4 linked regions of the Arabidopsis thaliana genome follow. The protein of the gene in region 4 interacts with the protein of the main gene of each other region in a pairwise test. Each region holds a gene or a part of one and is shown on either strand. Other genes may lie near its edges. The genes, in order: NDPK2, UAP56b, AT2G40620 and SR1.

What was found.
Region 1: the proteins of SR1 (region 4) and NDPK2 interact in a two-hybrid assay, tested with the Arabidopsis thaliana proteins (one study listed by BioGRID).
Region 2: the proteins of SR1 (region 4) and UAP56b interact in a two-hybrid assay, tested with the Arabidopsis thaliana proteins (one study listed by BioGRID).
Region 3: the proteins of SR1 (region 4) and AT2G40620 interact in binary tests that used the Arabidopsis thaliana proteins (3 or more experiments, as listed by UniProt).

Annotation. Positions count from the first base shown.
Region 1 is NC_003076.8:25,371,357-25,375,871, forward strand, and holds NDPK2 (nucleoside diphosphate kinase 2), read right to left. Parts: upstream 2,549-4,515; 5' UTR 2,483-2,548; coding exon 2,243-2,482; intron 2,063-2,242; coding exon 2,006-2,062; intron 1,861-2,005; coding exon 1,774-1,860; intron 1,554-1,773; coding exon 1,473-1,553; intron 1,379-1,472; coding exon 1,266-1,378; intron 1,177-1,265; coding exon 1,127-1,176; intron 834-1,126; coding exon 766-833; 3' UTR 548-765; downstream 1-547. Other genes in the region: AT5G63300 (Ribosomal protein S21 family protein), read left to right, coding at 1-419; NPX1 (nuclear protein X1), read right to left, coding at 3,057-4,298, 4,388-4,515. UniProt on the Arabidopsis thaliana protein: Major role in the synthesis of nucleoside triphosphates other than ATP. The ATP gamma phosphate is transferred to the NDP beta phosphate via a ping-pong mechanism, using a phosphorylated active-site intermediate. May activate MPK3 and MPK6.
Region 2 is NC_003076.8:3,565,227-3,571,524, reverse strand, and holds UAP56b (DEAD/DEAH box RNA helicase family protein), read right to left. Parts: upstream 4,351-6,298; 5' UTR 4,273-4,350; intron 4,156-4,272; 5' UTR 4,137-4,155; coding exon 4,024-4,136; intron 3,807-4,023; coding exon 3,706-3,806; intron 3,248-3,705; coding exon 3,075-3,247; intron 2,972-3,074; coding exon 2,740-2,971; intron 2,661-2,739; coding exon 2,542-2,660; intron 2,373-2,541; coding exon 2,330-2,372; intron 2,211-2,329; coding exon 2,175-2,210; intron 2,091-2,174; coding exon of another isoform or gene 2,050-2,090; coding exon 1,952-2,049; intron 1,856-1,951; coding exon 1,799-1,855; intron 1,706-1,798; coding exon 1,521-1,705; intron 1,416-1,520; coding exon 1,271-1,415; intron 1,185-1,270; coding exon 1,101-1,184; intron 1,006-1,100; coding exon 942-1,005; intron 850-941; coding exon 839-849; 3' UTR 510-838; downstream 1-509. Other genes in the region: GLR2.5 (glutamate receptor 2.5), read left to right, coding at 1-294; SHN2 (Integrase-type DNA-binding superfamily protein), read right to left, coding at 5,474-5,963. UniProt on the Arabidopsis thaliana protein: ATP-dependent RNA helicase involved in pre-mRNA splicing. Required for the export of mRNA out of the nucleus. In addition to ssRNA and dsRNA, binds dsDNA, but not ssDNA.
Region 3 is NC_003071.7:16,953,890-16,959,191, forward strand, and holds AT2G40620 (Basic-leucine zipper (bZIP) transcription factor family protein), read right to left. Parts: upstream 3,295-5,302; 5' UTR 2,984-3,294; coding exon 2,523-2,983; intron 1,730-2,522; coding exon 1,597-1,729; intron 1,505-1,596; coding exon 1,420-1,504; intron 1,340-1,419; coding exon 915-1,339; 3' UTR 529-914; downstream 1-528. Other genes in the region: AT2G40630 (Uncharacterized conserved protein (UCP030365)), read left to right, coding at 4,553-4,612, 4,724-4,811, 4,933-5,302. UniProt on the Arabidopsis thaliana protein: Transcription factor that may participate with bZIP34 in the gametophytic control of pollen development.
Region 4 is NC_003076.8:312,648-317,164, forward strand, and holds SR1 (serine/threonine protein kinase 1), read right to left. Parts: upstream 2,759-4,517; 5' UTR 2,105-2,758; coding exon 776-2,104; 3' UTR 543-775; downstream 1-542. UniProt on the Arabidopsis thaliana protein: CIPK serine-threonine protein kinases interact with CBL proteins. Binding of a CBL protein to the regulatory NAF domain of CIPK protein lead to the activation of the kinase in a calcium-dependent manner.

The sequences.
Region 1 (4,515 bases), about 25 Mb from region 4:
ACTACAACGTCGAGGTGGTGCCTAAAGACGGCGAATCGGAGGAGCAGCTGGTTAACGATTTCAAGAGGTCGTGTTTCAGAGCGGGTGTGTTGCAGGAATCTCGAAGACGACGCTTCTTCGAGAGCTCTCTGGAGAAGAAGACGCGGAAGACCAAAGAAGCTGCGAAGAAGTATCGGAAAAGGTCAGATTTTTTTTTCACTTTTTCTTCTTTCTTTCGAAAAACACTTGGAGAAGTTGAGTCAATAGATTTTGATTTTACAGGAGACCAAACCCTAAACCAAAACCACTATCAACTTCAGAGATCCGCAAGCACAACAGAAATGCATCCAGAGAAGACGAACAAGACGATCACTGGGAACTTCCTCCTGAGGACATTGAGATTCCATATACCAACCGGTCTTAGAAGTAAACCGGAATGATATTCCGGTACACTGATCTGAGCAATCTTAATCACGCAGCATCTGCGTTTTGTAAAGCCACTCTTTTGTATGTTCTTTTAGCTTGAGATTAGAAAATTTTCATTGCTCGGTGTAGAGTGAAGATGAATGATTTTGGAGGTGTCTGTAACGTAGAACCAAATGCAGATGAATCTGTAACTAGTTTTGATTACATGACAAGTGATCACAGATATGAGAAGAATCAAGCCATAGATTGGCAGTTATATTATATTGCCGCCCAAAATCAGGAACAAAACACCAAAGCTCATCATCGGTAACAAGAAAACAAGTAAGGACACCATTATAATTGACTCTGTCTTCTCAAGGATCACTCCCTTAGCCATGTAGCTAGAGCCGAATCCCACTTGCATAGCTCGCCCTCTTTGAACCACAGACCTATGCCACAACCACAAGAGCCAAAATGTCAGCAAATGAAAACTAAAAGTTTAGCATACTAAGGAATGAGAGTGATTGGTCAAACTAAGTAAATGAAGAAGTGATAGTAATGGTTTAAAACAGATATATTGAACCTAACAATTTCAGTAATCAAGTATGATCTAATCTAGTTATGTTATCAAGTTAATTTGAAGCAGTTTGAACCACGTTGATTTGCCCCTAAACTGGACATAGTCAATGTCTCAACAATGAAAGATGGGTGAATGATTTGAACAAAAAACAAGAAATCTCACCAATCTCACGCTTGCCGTTTTCAGGGCTGTCACTACCATGCACAATGTTCCTGCAAATTGCATAATTTAAAAATATCAAACCATGAGAATTATTTTAAGTGCTTACTTCCAACAATTTTAAAGATGATAGAAGTCCAACCTTCCGGTTTGCACAGCAAGATCTCCTCTTATAGTACCAGGTTCAGCTTGAAGCGGATCTGTTTTCCCTATTAGCTTCCTGGCTGAAGCAACAACACCAACACCTTCCCAAGCCTTTACCAGGTTTAAAACATCACATGCAATTAACTCATCTAATTACAACTTGAAAACAAGTAAAAATCAAATTAGAGCATAGTTATACCCATACCATACACACAACTGGACCTGAAGTGATGTACTCAATCAGGTTAGGAAAGAATGATTTAGCACTAAGATCCTTATAATGCTCCTGGCAATTGAGATAAACACACAAGAATATTAATTATGTCAATCGAATATGAAAAAAAAATGAGGCAGCGTCATCTTACGCAAATGTAGCGAATAAGTGAAATATGCAAGTCATGATCAGGCTTCAATTTCTCGATACTTGTCAATGATTTATTAGTTATATCACATTAAGAAGCAATCTAAAGTTATCAAACTACTGATGTAATGAGTGAGTGTCAAACCTCAGCCAATTCTTTTGGGCACTGAAACATCTTGAGCCCAATAAGTTTAAACCCCTTTTTCTCAAAGCGAGAAATGATTTCTCCTACCTAAGAACATCAAATGAATCATACATTCATAATTTAAGCCAAGATAGTGTAATGAAATAACATTCAAAGCTCCATAGAGTTCCAAGATACATAATTTAACCTCAAAATCAGAAGAAGAAAAAAAATGAAAAGCAAAAACGCTTACAAGGCCTCGTTGTATGCCATCAGGTTTCACCATAATGTAAGTCTCCTCAACGTCCTCCTGAAACAATACAGAAAACAACGTAAGAACAATCAAAAGGTCACTAAATTGCATTGAGATTCATCAAATTAGAATATATCCAAACTAATTTGAATCCTAAATTCCTGATTTCGGAGTTTAATCAATGTAAGTACTAAGAAAACAAAGTAATTCGCATAAATGGAGGGGAAGCACACAAACCATAGAAGCTACAAGGTGAGGAAGGAAGATTCCCGATTCGGCGGAGCTGGAAGCGCGAAGACGGCGGCGAGACGCGGAATTGCGAGAGAAAAGACGGAACTGAGGACGAAATGCGGCCAACGCTGTTCTAAAATTAACCCTGGCTGGAGAACAGTGTGGATTGAGACTTGCCGAGTTTCTCTCCGGCGGCGAAGCCACACATAGGGGAGTCCATTTACTAACTACAGTCGCTCCCACCATTTTCTGCGCTTTGTCTTAGCTTCTCTCAGTGTCTTCGCATCATCATCTTATAAGAACAAAGTTAATTGACATAAATACCCTTTATCCAGAAGCGAAGATAATTTGGGTTTAGTTGATCAATCAAAAAGTATCAGTGCTCAGAAGTAATTTAAAAAGTGATCTCGAGTACAAAGAGTGTCTCGTTTAAATGGAGGAAACAGACTCTTTCTCTTTCCCTGTACAGTTTACTCTTCTAAAAGATTAAAAAAAACAAAAGTCTGCACATTTCAACAGTCGCACAATTTGCTGCTTTAATACCAAACCAAACCATCTTTCTTGTAGCAAAATTGTTTTTTTCTTTTTCTTTTTTCGTCGATTTAGAATCATTGTCAACAGAGTCACGTTGAAAAATAGGCAATACAGACTCATCGTCTTGTCTTCTAGATGTATCTGGCTTTGCCTTTCTTTTGCTTGCTTTAGCCATTTCACGCCACATCAAATTTACATTTTGTGCATAGAAGAATCAATGCGTAAACATCCCCAACTTTTTCTTTTCATCTTGTTGCTTTTAACAAGACCCGGAAAAAAGACTTCATCAATCAATTTCTACATCTATATCTTCCTCTCCCTGGTCAACAAGGTCAGTTTTTTGCCCTGCCTTGTCCACAACTTCGGTTTCTACCTTTCCATTGCCATCAACTACAGTTTCGTTTCCTCCCTTGTCCGAAACTTCAGTTCCTTGCACTCCCTCACCATTGTCAACAGCTTCATTTTCTTCTACCCCCTTTTCGACAACTTCGCTTTTTTGCTCTCCCAAGTCGACAACTCCAGTTTCTTGTTCTTCTTTTTCAGTAACTCTACTTTCTTGCTCTGGCACATTCGCCAATTGTTCTTCTCCTTCAATTTTATTGATGGATTTTTCATCTTCTTGGTTCCCATTATCTTGTGTCTTTTGGCTTACCAGTTCTTCGTTTCCACAATCGAGTTGGTTCTCTCCCTCTTCTCTGTGAGGACTAAGTGTTTGTCCTTCACTTTTGTCAAGGGAAAGTTCTTTTCCTACTCCGACAACTTCAGTTTCTTGCTCTCCTGTATCATCATCTCTACTACTTTCTTGCTCTAGCACATTCTCCAATTGTTCTTCTCTCTCGCTTTGATTGATTTTTTCATCTCTTTGGTTCTCATAATCTTGTGCCTTTTCGCTTACCGATTCTTCATTACCGCTAGCACGTGGGTCCTCTCTCTCTTTTCTGTGAGGACTGAGTGTACGCCCTTCACTTCGGTCAAGGGGATGTACTTCTTCCACTCCCATATCAACAACTTCATTTTCTTGCTTTCTCATATCGACAACTTCAGTTTCTTGCTCTTCCTTGTCACCAACTCCACTTTCTTGCTCTGGCATATTCTCCAGTTGTCGTTCTATTTCATTTGGGTTTATGGGTTTTCCATCTTCTTGGTCCCCATTATCATGTGCCTCTTGGCTCACCGGCTCTTCATTTCCGCTAACGAGTTGATCCTCTCCTTCTACTCTGTGAGGACTATGTTCCTGTTTTTCACTTCTGTCAAAGGGATTGTCTTCTACTTTTCTCTGGCTAAAGTGTGGCGGGTCTTCTTCTTCATCCTCATCCTCATCCATTTTCATATACAGACCTAGATGTTCTAATGGATTACTGTTGCTTTCCATCTTGAAACTACCCAAACCCAACATATCCTCACTAAACTTGGGACTCATCACTTCCATGGAAGTCGGTAATTGATCACCTTCTGTACCTGTAGCTCTAAGCATCTGGAGGTCTTCCATAAACCGTATGCCCTCGTTTATCTCCACTGTCTTTTCCATCTGCAACAGACCAGAAAGTCATTTATCATGATTGTACACCATGGTAGGGCTCTGAATAATAGAAGAGAAACTCGAAAAGTCTTTTATACCTTTTGTAAAGCTTGACGTGCAGCTTCTCTCTCTTGCTCTCTTTCCCTCCTCGCTTTTTCTGCGGCTTCTGCTTTGGCTTTTCTCCGAGCCTCCTCAGCTGCTTTGGCCTCGGCTTGTAACCGTTCTT
Region 2 (6,298 bases), 3.3 Mb from region 4:
ATCCAGCTCGACCACCACAGCTTTGAAGCTCTATTTCTGATCGTCTTTGTTGTTTCTGTGATTCTACTCTTACTCATGTTGGCTTCTAGAGGATACCAAGAGAGACAACACAATGCTTCACCCAATCTACCAAATGATCAAGCCAATGCAGCTCAAGAAGAAGTCAATGAAGAAGGTAATGTTGGAGATCATATTGTGGAAGTCGACACAGCTTTGGTCCGTCGTAAGAAACTGACCTCAAACACTATACCCATTAGAAGAGTTGCGCCACTATCAAGGCTAAAGTCAGCATAGTCAAACCTAAACTCTAGATTTCTTTCACTGTTTAGATTGCATAATCATAATATTTAAGGAATCCTTTTCTCAAATATGTTTAAATGTATCTAAGATAGACTGATGCAAACTTAAATCTTACCTACTACTATTACATGAAATATTTGTTCATTGGTCAGCATAAAAGACGGTATTTACGTTCAGGATTCTTATCAACATTCAATAATATTCGCTTTGCATCAAACTAGATCAATTCACTAGGAACATTTAATCAATGATCAAGCCAAAGAATAAATCCTGAAATCTTAATATTTTAAAGATAACCATCACTAGTACAAAAAACAGGAGAGCTCTCAACTGTGCGCGATTTGGAGAGTAGCTCAATCTCATTTTTCAAGAGTTACAAAACGGTCTAAATATATGGAAAAACTTGTCCTCATAGAAAAGTCTAAAATAGCGAAGCAACAAACGGTGTGAGAGATAGTTGTGGACCTCCATGACCCCTTTGAACACCTAAAAGGTTGAAATCTGAAGAGGTTCGTTCCTCAGAGATGATGCTACTTGTTTAAGACGGCACTGAGCAAAGAATACGAAGAAGAAACTAAGTTAATATCAATACCAGACAAAACCAGCCTTTTTCACATTTAGTAATGGGATTTAAAACTTACTGTAAGTCGATGTATCAATCTGCTCAGGAAGCTCCTTTATATCGACCTCAAACCTCTCTTGAACCTGTCCAACATTTATACTTGCCACTTTACTAAATACCCAACTCAATATCATGGGGACTTTTTCCATGGAATTTATTAAAAGATCAAACACCATACCTGATTAAGGACCTCTGAATCTGAAGCAGATGCAACAAATGTGATTGCAAGACCCTTGGTTCCAAATCTACCAGCTCTCCCAACCTATCCCATACACACAGCAAAACGGTAAAGTTACAAGAGCCCTTTCATCAACGATCAAATAATAAATCTCAGGATTATATACTTACCCTATGAAGATAGGTATCCGCAGAATCTGGCATGTCATAGTTGATAACAATGTTGACACGCTCTATGTCAATCCCTCTTCCTACCAAGTCAGTCGCCACAAGGATCCTCTTGTGCCCTTCCTTGAAACTTTTGTATCGAGTCAACCTACATAACATATCGTATTAGGCTTAAGAATTGGACTCTCCATGAGGGCTTTAAGAGCAGGTAGGGTCCTTCAGAAACATTGAATTTTTAAGAGAATGTACAAACCTCTCTTCTTGAGACATGCCAGAGTGTATGCATATTGAGGGGAAATTGCATTCCACCAGTAACTTGTTCAGCTCCGCAGCCCTGCTCACGCTCTTCACAAAAATGACAACTTGATTGAAGTCCAACGCATCAAGAAGGTCATTCAACTTGCGATTTTTCTCCATCTCGCTCAGTTTGATGTAGTGCTGTTACAGTAGAACAGAAAAAAGGTCACTTAAGTATCAAACAACAACATATATTTACATTGAATACGAAGACCTCAAACCAGTTAAACGTACCTGGACAAGTCCATGAAGAGTCAACTTGGCTTCATCATCAACATATATTTCCATTGGCTGAAAGGAACAGATACCAGGTAAGAAGTATTAGCTAGCTTTCCTCAGGAAATGATTTACACTACAAAAGTGAAGATGGATGGAGATCCCCTGAACTGAGATCCTCGTCCACCTTTTCTCTTCAAAGATGTGAGTTTTGCTATGAAACATCAATATTGCTCGGAACATTGAGACCCATACGAGCACGATGAAACCTTGGGAAAACACAGTACCCCGACCCAAAACCCACCCACCACTGCTAGATTTTCAAAGAAATTGAAACTGAATAAAAGGTTAAGATGAAAGGAAATCCTGTTGTGCAACGGTCACTCAATCATACCAAAGCTACAGAGTCTCCACTCAGAGTTCTCAACCCCTACAAACTACCCAAAGCATTATTAGGTTGAGATCCTTCCAGAGATCAGTTGCAACTTTTCCAGGGCAGAACAACAGAAGATGCTCAAATAATGCTATGATCACCGATAGAAACCATACCAAAGCTAAAGAGTCTCACACTCACAGTCTCGTTCTCTAGAAACTACCCAAAGCATTATTGGATTGAGACCCATCCAGAGATCAGTTTCAGCTTTTCAAGGGCAGAACCGCAGAAGATGCTCAAATAATGCTATGATCACCCATAGAAGGCTAAAAATAGATGAAAACTAGAAGACTTGCAAAGGGAGAGAGAATTGGCCATGGAACATTACATCTTGCATAAACTTCTTGCAGACTGGGCGTATCTCTTTGCTGAGCGTTGCTGAGAACATCATTACTTGTTTGTCATGAGGAGTCATCTTGAAAATCTCCTGCACATCCCTTCGCATGTCTGGTAAAGACAAGTTGAAGTGTTAAAACATAAAATTATTCAGGGATCGATGTAATAATGATGTCAGAAATCAGCATACCAAGTGACTCGAGCATTTTATCACACTCATCAAGAATAAAATGCCTCACATTCTTCAAAGAGAGATCTTTCTCCCTGGCAAGTGCAAGCACTCGACCAGGGGTACCAACAACAATGTGAGGACATTCATTCTTCAGCAAGTCTTTGTGAATTTTAATGTTGACTCCACCATAGAACACCGAAACTTTTGTATCAGGCAGATAGGTACTGAATCGCACAAACTCATTGCAGATCTGCAAGTAATTTTCAGCATCAAGGCATAGTAAGCATTAGAGAACTTGAAGACGTAAAACACGACTATAAGCCAAGAACCTGAGTGAAACAAGAAGGTCATACCTGGTAAGCTAGCTCTCTTGTATGGCACAAGACAAGTGCAGAAACCTGGCCAGGAGATGGTTCAATCTGTTGTAGAGTAGACAGGACAAACACAGCAGTCTTCCCCATACCAGACTTTGCTTGGCAGATAACATCCATACCCAAGATAGCTTGAGGGATACATTCGTGTTGCACTGGTGGAGAACCAAAGAAAATAGCACCGAAGAAACCCTTTATAAGTAGATGATAACCTCCATATCTTTTAAATTGGTGGCTTTAGCACATGTTAAGCTCACTCCAAATCAATAGATCGAAATTAGCGTTTATTACCTGGAAAAAGTAATCAGTGAAACGTTAATAGACAGAAAACTAAAAAAAATTATTACAGGAAACTAAAGAAGAATTTAACCTTATAATCAACACAAAACTTTTGGATTTTGGACTTAGTTAGGTGATAAGCAAGGGACCCAGATAAAGTAAAATATCTTAAACCAACATATCTTCTCAAAACTAGACGAAGTACATATAATTAAAAGTCTCCGGACACCTAAAAAGCTTATGGAGAAGAAACTTCTGTAAATTCTACCATATCATTCAGATTCAGTAATAGAATGGTGAAAGGCAACAAAATTGAATTTTTATTGGTAATTACCTTCAGATGGATGTTCAAATCCTGAGTCAACAATAGCTCTGAGAAGCTCCGGTTTCAAAAGGAAGTCTCTGAATCCAGAACTGTGTATTCCCACGTACCCTCTGTCACAAAGAGAAAATACAATATGAGAAACACACGACAGTCTAATATTGGGTGGGTTTCAGGAATTATAGCAATGAAGAACTCAGTCAATTGTTATATGTTAAGCAACTAATTAAACACATACTGCTACTTGTTATCAAGTAGTAATCTAAGAATCGACAAATTTAAACACACAGTAGTATACATGAAACATATCGAGGAAACCATAAAACTCACTTTTTCACAGCTTCGCCGTTAACTTTGTTTCCAGAATCTGGGACCTTCTCGTCTTCTTCTTCATAGTCCAAGAGCTCCTCCTCGTAGGCTTCGTTGTCTCTAGCGTCTCCCATACTTCGCAAATTCAACAAGCTGCAGAGAAATTTCGGGTAAGATTCCAAATCCAAAACATTAACCTAAGATTCAGTAGGAAAGCATCTTCAGTTGGAACTTTGGATAAGCAATTGAGTTCTCGAGCGAGAATTTTACCTGAGATAAGGAGCAGAGTTAGTTGGATCTCGAAATCGACTAGGGTTTCGAAATCTCTGACTGAAGAAAATTAAATATCAACGCTGGGTTGGTGTCGTAAATATATATATACAGGGAGACTGGATAGGGTTGAGAATGGGCTTTACTTTAATGGGCCTAGAGTTTTTATGAATCGGCCTTTGTGCGCCGATTATTGAACTCAATGATGGGATCGAAGCAATTTTTTTTCTACGACGAATACGGTCAGGGTTCGTCTTGTAGGATAAGAACATTAGCCCAAAGATAGATTACAACAAATTGTTTTATGAGGATATTTTATTTCCTTTAATAATAACAACTAGATTTTTAACCCGTCTTATACCGCAGGGGACAATATTTTTTTTTTAAGTTAGTATATATAAAAGTTTGCAAATTGTATCTATCTATAAAATATTTTTATTTTATAGTTTACAATTGTTATTAAGTTACGTCCTGCTAAACTCGTCCCGCCAATCCGTCCCGTAAAAAAAACTATTTATTTTATTAATATTGATCTTATTTATGATATGTTTATGAATCATTGTCTAAATATTTTGTAATTTTGTAATAATTAATTGCTATCAAATATCTCTGTGGGTTGATGCGTATAATCGAATTGTTATAGTCATGCAAAAAAGCAATATCAAAAATGATAATTTTGTAATTTTTAAATGATGTTAAATATTTTGGAAGTTTTATTTTAGTAACTAATCGTGTAGTTAATGTAGAGAGATTTTGGGAATATAGTTAAATGTCAAATATTTAATTCGAAGATTTACTTTCTAATTATCAAAAATAATTATTAAATGCCAGTGGCAGCCACTGTAAATAAGTCTCAACTTGAGGTTTATTTTACAAAGTGGCTGCAAAAATGTATATGTATATATGTTTGTGTTTGAAGGACCAACAAAATTGTAGGCCCATTAATTAAAACAAGAGAATACTTAAATCGAACAATCTTTTATATCAATCAATACAACAAGCATGTATACTTTCATCACACAAAAAAATACAAATCTGTATATATTACATTTTTTTACATGTATTTTTGACAATTTTCTTACATGTATAATCGATAAATAAAGGAAATCCATCACATAATAAACTTTTTAAAAATATTAAAAACCGGAAAACAATGAAAACCCTTACCCCTTGTGGACTTGCAACAAGTTAAAGTCAAAAGTCAACTCCAATTCAGCAACTCCTCGATCATCTCCATAGCTAACTGATCCTCATCACTAATAATAGCTTCTTCTTCTTCTTCTTCTTTCTCAACGTTTTGTTTGTTCATCGTAGTCAACCCTAAGTCAACCGCACTTTCGTTGACTACGTTCCCAAGTTCGAGGCGCATGACCCAAGTCGGACTTGTTTTCGACCCGGCCCGTTTCTGCCAAACTCCAATGTGGGAACTGTCAGTATCAAGACGGAGACACGTCAAAGAAGGCGTTAGGTCTTTGCAGCTCTTCCTTAGCTTAGCGTTCAAAAGCTCAGATAATGACTTTGGTGACATCAACGGAGAGTTAACATCTTTAACGTGATCGGAGCCTTCCTCTGATTTTACGACAGGGAAATTGGTCTTAGCGTTTTGGCCGTTCATTAGAAGAGCCGCTTGGTCGTATGCTCTTGCAGCCGCTTCTGCCGTTTCGAAAGTTCCAAGCCACACTCTTCTCTTCCTGATTAATATATCACACACACGTGTAAATACTAAATACACTACATATGATGATATGAATTTTGAAATATAATTTTTAACGTTTTGGTATCATATAACATTCACGTTAAAAAAGGATTTTAGTAATTTTTATATTAGTTACAAAATCCAAGTAAACATTTCAATTAAGTTTTGAGCTGAAATCCAAACTAACCTTAGAAATTACCACATTTAATTTACAAAAATAATCAAAGAATCAAGTAGATGAAAATCAGTCGATAACTTAACTTTGATTAGCATGCATGGTTGGTTTTAACTTTTAATTCCTTTTAATATTTTGTAGATTGTTAAGCAATA
Region 3 (5,302 bases), on a different chromosome or scaffold from region 4:
ACCATCACAAGGTTTTTGTCTATTTGTTGCCCCAAAACTATTGGGACTCTCCATAACTACGTGCCTGAAAAATGGTTATGTCCAAAGAGAGAACGTCATTTCAATGACCCAACTTCTAAGAGCCGACACCAAGATAAATAAACTTCAATTGTTCTTGAGCTTTTCTCAAGATATAGTTGAGAGATTCTCATGTGAGTATTTAATTTTGTTGTTTGGTAGTTAGGGCACCTTATAAGTGGCTTCAACATGGCTAGTTTGGTTCATGTAATTTGTGTCTTGACCCGGTTTAACACGTAACCCTCCTCTAGTTTCTAATTAGCTTAAGTGGGTTTTTCAAAATCTCCATATGTTCCAACGAAACTACGTTTGGTTTGTGCTTTGTAGTGCGGACGTTAGGGTTCTAATGGGAATTATCTTGAGAACCTTGTGCTTGAAGCAAAAGTACATGTGGAACTATAAAAGTAGCCAATTCCATGCCCAACGAATAGAAATTTTCCTACAAATCCAATTTACTGGAAATGAAAATAACACAAAGTGATGTAGCTAGGAGACCTGCAAAACAAAACACTTTCTGATCTGGTTCAAGCCAAAGCCAAATCCAAATTCAACCATCTATCATAGGGATGATTGACGAAAGCAACTAGGGAATCATGACAACATAAAGAAACAGAAATATGATCTGTTTATAATTCAGTAGCTCCCCAGGAGAACAAGATGAATCAGGAAATGAGAAATCAGACAAGTTAAAACAACTGTGGTCTCTAAAGTTGAAACCCCAAAACCCCCCAAAAAACCAGTTTTACAGAATAAAAAATGAATCCGACTGTCACGAAGATGTTACTTTTTAGCTAAAGATTTCAAGGGAGGGCGAAAGAATAGGTTTATCGACAAAGGGGAATCTGGGAAAGGCAGCCTCACATAGTGCTGCTGCTTTCACTGACGGTGTCAGACCTACCAAAGTTTGAGCCTCTGCCACAGCTGCTAATGTCAAGCCCCTGTAACCGGCCAAGATGGTCTTCATGCATTGCCTCTGAATAGGAATGAGATTGAGCCGGGGCATTAGAAGTAGCGTGATGCATAAGCTGATGAGCGGTGGGAGGGTTTGTGCGAGAAGATTGGTTCTGGTTGTTGTTAGGCTGGAAGAGATGAAACTGATGAGTCATTTGTTGCAGGTTTTGAGCATCGGTTTGTTGCTGATGATGATGTTGAAAGAAGGATTGTTGTGGTTGTTGCTGATATTGCATGTGTGCCATTCCGAGGTTATAAGCATCCGCGGGTGAGACTTCTCCCGTGGCGAATTTCAGCCTCTCAACTTCCTTTTTCAGTTGCTCGTTCAGTGCTGCCGAGGGAACTCATTAGTAAACGACCTTAAACCCCAAATAATCATATAAAGTGAGGGATTGAGAGATTAATCCATACCATCTCGCAACTTAGCTTGTTGTTCCATGACCTGTAAACGAAGCTTGAGCTCTGTATTCTCAGATGACAAACCAGTTGTGTCTCTCTGTAAGAAGCAAGTTATTAGGCCGTAGATGAGAAACTGAATGTTATTGCAGTAACTGAAAAATGTGCAAAGAAGGAGAATGTATAAGAAACCTGGAACAAAGACAACTGTGCTGAAAGGGTAGTAGCTTCAGTTTGCAAGGTCTGAACTTTCCTCTCGAGCTCCAAGATATACCGAGCCTTCCTCTCTTTCGAACGAGCAGCAGACTGTCGATTAGCAATTATCCTGCACAGAGTGCATGAGACAGGATTAGACACTTTGGAGCATCAATTAATAAAAGTCACAAGAACAGTCATGCAATTAATAGTGACCATCACCAAAGAATCATCCGAGAGATTACATTAGATCACCCTTAACCCTATTGACACAGATCAGATCTCACACAAAGCTAATTCCCAAACAATTTGAACCAAAGTCACTTGAAACTATAATTTCCAATTCCAAACAGTTGACTACTAAAAGTGAATGTAAAAAAGGGATCATCTTGAAAGCCATACCACACAAAAAAACATCATCAAATATGATCTCTAACCAAACAGGAATTGAACAGACCAATCAAGCAAAAGCTAGTACAAAAAAAAATTAGTTGGGGGCCATAAAATCATCATGAAAGAGACACATTCTCACAGAATTCAACTTGGAATTTAGACAAAAAAGCAAACTTATGGGTCCCTCATGGTCTCTCTCTCTCAGCAGGAAAGACCTAAAATAAAAAAGCAGCATAGTAGAAGCTATAACTAAAATTTCAGTTAAAAATCAGTTATCGTTGAGATTCGAGATCATAGTCAAAAAGAAAAGGTGATGTACTCACGTAACCAAGAAAAACAAAAAGATCTCCAAAAGAACACCTAATGACTAATGCATCACATCAACATCAAAAGATTACATATTCATCAATAAAAGGTCATAAAGAAACTGCCTTTCTTCCCCACGAATTGTAAACAAAAGCATAAAACAAGGAACTAGATTTCAATCATATCAAACAAAATTCTCGACGTTTGGGGATTAAAGATGAAACCTTTTAGCTCTTTTAGGGTCGACGACCCAAAGCTCAGCGAGCTTATCAGGAGCCATAGCTTTCTTAGCCTCAATTGACTCCAAAGTCGAAGAGCCATCAACGGAGAGGCTATGCCTGTGTCGAGGTCTCGAATTCCCAGCCTCCGCACCTCCATTCTCAGCGGAAAACGGGTTATCAGACCTAGGAGCAGAAGGACCAGCCGAATCGGATGCGGATCCGGATCCGGATCCAAGTTTCTCAATGTCCATGTATGAGCAAAAGAGATCATCTTCGGATCCAAGCTCATCGAATCCTCCGAATGGTTCAGAGAGATCCAGATCTTCAGGGAGACGGAATTGGACCTCCGAATGTGCTCTCCGGTGGTACGGACCACGAACTGGCGCAGGTGTCGGAGCTGTGGCTAAAGGCGGGCATTGCGAGAGATTGCTCTGGTTTGGTTGTGGGTTAGAAGGATCCTCCATATCTGGATCGTCCTTCTTCTTCTTATTTTCTCTCTGTTTCGCGCCCTCTGTCTATCTGTCGGAATCGGACAGCGAAAGAGAGAGAGAGAGAGAGGGAGAGATTCAGATATCACGTTGTGTCCGAAGGTGATGATGATGGCCACAAAAAAACACGGAACAGGCTCCAAAACAGCGTCGTTTGTGAGATCTTTTATCTTTTTAACCCTTGTTTTCGTCTATCCAAACTTTCAAGCTGTCTTTTGATCACACAAATCATATACTTCTCTTTTTACATTTGATCTTATTCACATATACATAGAAACATATAAATTACAATTCCTTGTTCAACAATATTTTTGTTTTTCATTAAATATCTTTTACTAAAACAAAATAATCGCATAAAATATTGTGTATAAAGCTTAATATTATTTTCATTTTAGCTATTTATAAAAAATATTGATAGATCCAAATTAGAATGTTTACTTAAATTTCAAAGTTAATTTTAGTAATGTTTTATCGCGGGTTTATGTGAAAATATAGTTAGAAAACTTTTTGAAAATTTGGAGCGAAAAGTTCGTTACCAACGGCATCTTATCATATGTGTAGAACATTGGAAAAAAAACGTTTGAAGATTTGGATTCAATAAATAAAAGGAAATACATTAAACTTTTTGTTATTTTAGACATTTCACAAAAAATAGTAAATAAGCCTTTATAACTTTTTTAATATATACGAACTTTAGGAAACATAATACGATCCAAACACATTTGCTTCTAAAACTACTTTCCAAAACCATTCTACATCCAAAAACTAGCTTAACCAATTTTAAAACCGATTCAATCAATATCAATATATATACACACACAAAATTTAGACTAATATGTATTTTACTATTTTGTCGTTATCGTTACATATAAAATGCTTAGTAGATTTTTATATCAATAATATAATCAAAAATCTAAATAATTAAATTCACCGTAAACGACAGAAAAAAACTTAGATTTGTTGTATTTCACATCTATTTAAAGACTAAAATCTTATAAAATGAATGAAGTTTTTTGTTCTTGGCATTTTTAGTAAATACTAAAATCTTATATAGTGATTGATATACATATGTAATTTCTCTAAATAATAATTTGTAAATGTGTGGGGTAAAATATGAACAAGTGAGTTTTGGTGGGAGTAAAAGTGAAAAAGACATTAGTAATTAGAGAATTAGTGAAATTGACGAAAGAGCCCTACTTGATGATATTTCGAGAATATAAAAGGCTCAAAGGTTAGCGGCCGAAAAAACGAGGAAGCTCTCTCCTTTATAACAAAACCTCAACACTTCACCATTTGAATTCAAAATCCCTTTTCTCTTCTGTCTCTCATCGATTTATCCCCAAATATACTTTCTTCTTCGTCCTCACCTCACTCCTCTACACAATTTATCTAAACCTAATCTTAGTTATTCAAAGCTTGCTCTCGAATCCCCTTATGTGTGTACCCGTTTAGAAGAAACTGTTGCGTTTTCGTTTGTGTGTGGACTCTTTCTGGGTGGATTCGACATCTGGGTTTTTGGAAAAGAGAGATCTTTCTGGTGTGTAAATGGAGGAACAGAGAGGAATTTCCTCTGGTGTTGTGTCGGAACCTGCATCGAATTCTGTGGTTTGTTGCTTCTTTTGGCTTTCCCGATGACTTTCTCGGTTCTTCATCAAATTTTATCAATTTGTTTATGGGTTTGTGTTCTTCGTCTCTGGGGTTATCCCAATTTTGTAGATTTCTGGCGAGAAGCGTAACGGAAATGGATTAGATGAGAAAGATGAATTAGGGTCTAAACGTGTGAAAGTCCCAGATCTGGCTTCTGGTAATTCTCGAGTTTTCTTTTACTTAGAATGGTCGAATTCGATTGTTAGAAATGATCTTTATCACTGAATTTTCGGATGATTTGTTAAAAGTTTCCTACTTTTTTTATAATTATGTTACAGATGCGAAAACCAGTAGTTTGCAATCTCATGGAAACAGTAATAGTGTTCAGCAACCAAATCTTAGTAGTGAGAAGTTGTCGAAAGTATCTAAAGTGCTTGTGGCTCCTGATGCTGAAGGTATAAGAAGAGTAGTTAGAGAAAATGATGTTTTGTCTAAAGATATAAAACCTTCCTCAACTGTTGAGACGAGAACATACTTGCCTAAGGCCAAGTCAATTTCTACAGATGATAATAGACGCGTTGTTAATTCTGGAAAACAGGCTTTGCTTGAGAATCATACTGTAAAAACAGATGATAGTAAGTGTCGTGTTGTTAAGAATATTAGCCTCTTGAAACCGAGGGAGACTACTGAATCTGTTGTAAGTCAACG
Region 4 (4,517 bases):
TTGTGTATATAGTAAATTGGATAATATATAGATCGTGGAGCCTACAATTATTGCATTGAAAAGGTGATATATATGTTGATTACAGTAATTATAACTGCTGAAGCTGAAATTAATGGATTATGGATGATTGGATTCAATGTGGATACCAAGAAAAGAAAATGATTGATGAGAATTATTGGTGTATGATCTTATATCACAGCCACATGCGATAGGATTATATAAAGTCCACTAGCTATATATCTATTTTAATAGTATATTTTTACAATGATGTGATAAGGACAACCTCTTACTTATCAAAAAGGTGAAAGTAGATCAGTTGTGTTAGTTCATGGCTCAAATCTTGACACTTCTTTTTACATAATGACAAAATTAATAGCAGAAGAAGACTGTGTTTTATGAGTTGTTAAAAATTACATCTATATGTATGTTAAATATCATGTTGAATAGTTAACTAATCCTTAAGTAATGGTTAAGTTAGAGTGTCTTGTACACATAGCATTACTTCACATCCACGATACGTTACTAATGTATTATAGTGGCCATTTAAAACAAGTAATACATTTTTTTATATTTTATTTTTCATTTATATAAAATATAATTATGATTACATAACAAGAAGATACATACTTGCCAACTAAAAATTAAGATTTGTCGAGAAATTTCCTGAATAATTATGTCAGAGATATTCTCCGGGTAAAAAAAAAAGCAATTACATATAACCCGGGATATTTTTTTTTAATTATTATTTGGATAATTTATTTGACAGATACCTAAACTACGACGTCGTATGTACTTGAGTTGGTTCTGGGTCCGTTTGGTCTGATTCGTGCACAAGCTCGACGAAGAAAGGCCTGAGTGTATCTGTCCATAAATCTCGTCCAGATGCAGCGGCTCTTTGTCTCTTCCTCACCTCTATCATAACCAGCTCGTCCGTTAGCTGGTTTATCTCAACCACCATTGCGAAGTTACCTTTTTGCCCCTCGATCTTCATCCCCCATGTTTCCTTCTTCGCCACCGTCAGATTCTCCGCCGACACGATCTCCTCCAGCCTCTCCACCACCCTCTCCGCCGTCCACGCCGACACGAACCGTTCCACTCGGTCGTACTTTCTGGCGTCTCCGAAAAGACCGGAGAGATTGAACCCTGGAGATCCTGAGATGATGTCGAATGCGTTCATCCTCCTTGCTCCCATCTCGCTGTCGGTCTCGTCCGCCGGGAGTTTCATATCGGAGTCCTCTAGATGGAATTTAGACATCCGATCGTCGTAGCCCTGTTTGAACCATGGATCGTGGATGATCTCTTCGATAGTGATCCTCGTCTGCGGATTCGTGTCTAAAAGCCGAGTCAGCAGTCGCCGGAGATCCGGTGAGGTCCACTTGGGAATGCGAAATTCTCCCTTGTAGATTTTCCGGTACATAACCATGAGATTATGGTCGTTGAAAGGGAGATAACCGGCGTTGAGGACGAACAGTATGATTCCACATGACCATATGTCGATTTTAGCACCGTCGTACCCTTTCTTCGCCAAAACCTCAGGCGCCACGTACGCCGGCGTACCACAGAGTGTGTGGAGGAGGCCGTCGGGTCGGATCTGATCGGTAAGAGCGCTGAGTCCGAAATCAGAGATCTTCAAATCGAGCTTCTCGTCGAGGAGGAGATTCTCCGGTTTGAGATCACGGTGAAAGATGCCGCGGGAGTGGCAATATCCGACGGCGGAGATGAGCTGCTGGAAATAACGACGGCTAAGATCCTCGCAGAACCTGCCCTTGGAGACTTTGGCGAATAGCTCACCGCCCTTGGCGAATTCCATGACGAAGAAGATCTTGGATTTGGTGGCGAGGACCTCGAACAGGCGCACGATAGAAGGGTGGCGCAGACGGTGCATGATAGCGATCTCTCTCTGAATGTTGCCATTGAGTCCTCCTTTCTGCAGCCGTTGCTTGCTCACCACTTTGATCGCAACGCTCTGACCCGTCGCTGTGCTCCTCCCGTGGTACACTTTCGCGAAGGCGCCGCATCCCACCAATTTTCCGACCTCGTATTTGCCGAAGAGCTGTCCACGGCGGTTCTCCGGCGGAAATTCCACCGGGTCAGAATCTACCATTAAAAACAGAATCTGCTAGGTCAATTATGGTACACAGAAACTGAGGTCATTGCGAATGAATCAACGCCGTAGAAAAAAAAGAAAAGAAGTCTGAGAGAGAGAGTGTTGTTATTAATAGAAGAAGCGAAAGGAAAATTAGTAGTTTGAAAAGTAAAAAGATATGAACAAAAGTAACAGATATTTAGAGAGATCTGTTAGCAGAGAAAACAAAAGAGAGACAGACAAATTGGGAGGATTCGGATAAGAGATAAGCCATGCTCTGTATCGAGTTGTTACATATATATTACTGTCTTGAGGTAGGAGATGAGGGTATTTTTGTCAATTACTATCAGATTCTTTTTCCTTATTTTCTTCTTCTTTATTTTCTTTGTAAAGACGTGGGAGATTTTCTGTTTTGTTTTCTTAATATATCTATTAAAAAAAGAAGAAGAAGAAGATGAAGATGTGGACAAGAAGTTGAATTAGAACCATACAGGTGTCCCGTCGCTGTTGTCGTGTTGATTTGGTATCTCCGAGGGTTTAGGCTGTAGAATATACTCATTTCACACATATACGCTTCGTCGTATCTTCGGCTATTTGCTATAATATTATTATTACAAGAACATATAAACATGTTTCCTCCAATATTGTTGAATATTATTATTTTATGGTCAACTCAAAACGGAGAATTGTTCTTTCGACTAGCCTAGGCAGCTAGCTCTAGTTAGTTAGTAATTCAGCTAACCACTGCTTTGTTTAGTCATCAATCGTGGTTAAGTCCTTTGAACATCCAAATTCCCCTTATTAGTATTAGTTCAAGTCTCATTTTGAGCACCAGGCTATATATTGCGGTTGACAGGTTACTACAACTCCCGCCCCACTGCTCAAGGTTGGAATCGTCCTATAACTAGTGTCATTTCCTAATCTTCCTTAATCTTTTCAAATCACTATCTAAACTCTACGTTCATTTTTAATTATGATTCTTATGTTTATTTTTCCACTCCATCACTGTTCCAAATAACTTGAATTATTTATCAAATTTAAACAATACTTGGGAAAATATATTTCATGCTTTTTGTATACATTTCACAGTTGTTTATTTCACTATTTTTAGAAAATATATTTGCTTATGTTGGAATCATTAGTTAATACATTTGGAAAACATATGTCATTCCTTTTTAAAAATCTCCAGTTGTTTTTTCCCATATTCGTGGAAAAATAAATCGAGTCTTATGGGCAAATTGATCTATTTGATGCTTTTTGAAAAAAAGAAATATGACTACATTTAAGATTTCAATTGATTATTTTCAATATATGTTTCACATTATAAAGTACAAACAGTGCGCTTGAAAAAATAACTTTTGCCCAAAATAAAAAAGAAAAACAAATTTGATTAATATTTAACATTATCTCATTGTTTTTTTTTAATAGTTACTATTTTCTTACTTAGCTAAGTTGGAAAGTCAGTATAATTTTATAAAGATGTATTAGTTCCATGTATGATCACTACCCACAATCACACTAATTATGTCCCAATTCCTCAGACTTAAACATTTGACGACTTAGAAATCATCGCATTGCATTGTTAGAGTGCAAGGCTTTTATAATCTTGTGAAGTTTTGGTTAAAGTTTAATACCAAAAAAAAGAGGATAAATTTTGCAGTGTCAATTTTTATAGTAAATCTACGACGTGATCTACCCACCGCAGCGTACAACAAAATATAAAATCAATTTTAATTATTTTTGTAATTTATCCAAAACACACAACGTTTTAAAGATTAGATAAATCGTACGTTACTATTTTCGCTGTCACGCTGTGCCCATTTGTACATATATATAAATCCAAGCCACACATAAATTAGTACTATTTTTTTTTGGTAGGCATAAATTAGTACTACAGTATTCACATAAAACCAAATCAACATCTTTTTTAATATATATAAATCCATTAAAAGACATGTACGGGAATAAAATAAAAATAAATTACCGCGTTAATAATGTGATGTACGAAAGATTTCATTTGTTTTTAATTTTGATTTTTTCTGATGCTGTTTCATGGAAGCTTCTTTCGTTGGGGAAAAAGAGAAGGAGGAAGGAAAGAAGCTCGTTAAATAATTACGAAATCAAGGTTCTGTCAATAAAAATGGATGGTTATATAATTGCCCCTTTTCTTTCGTTGGTTCGAAAGGTTGCTCCAATCAAAATATCTACTGATTTTGAATACATTATTAATTGTTGACAAACAAAATAAAAGAATACATTATTAATTTAGCTTGTTACTTTTGGTCCCATGCAAGATTAATGTGACCATATAACCCATTTTTACGACAAAATTTAACGATATAATATATATGACCATAAATAACTTCTGAAGTAATTAACAAAAGAAAACATAAATAAAATGAATTAAAAAAATGGAATATACGAGGTCCAT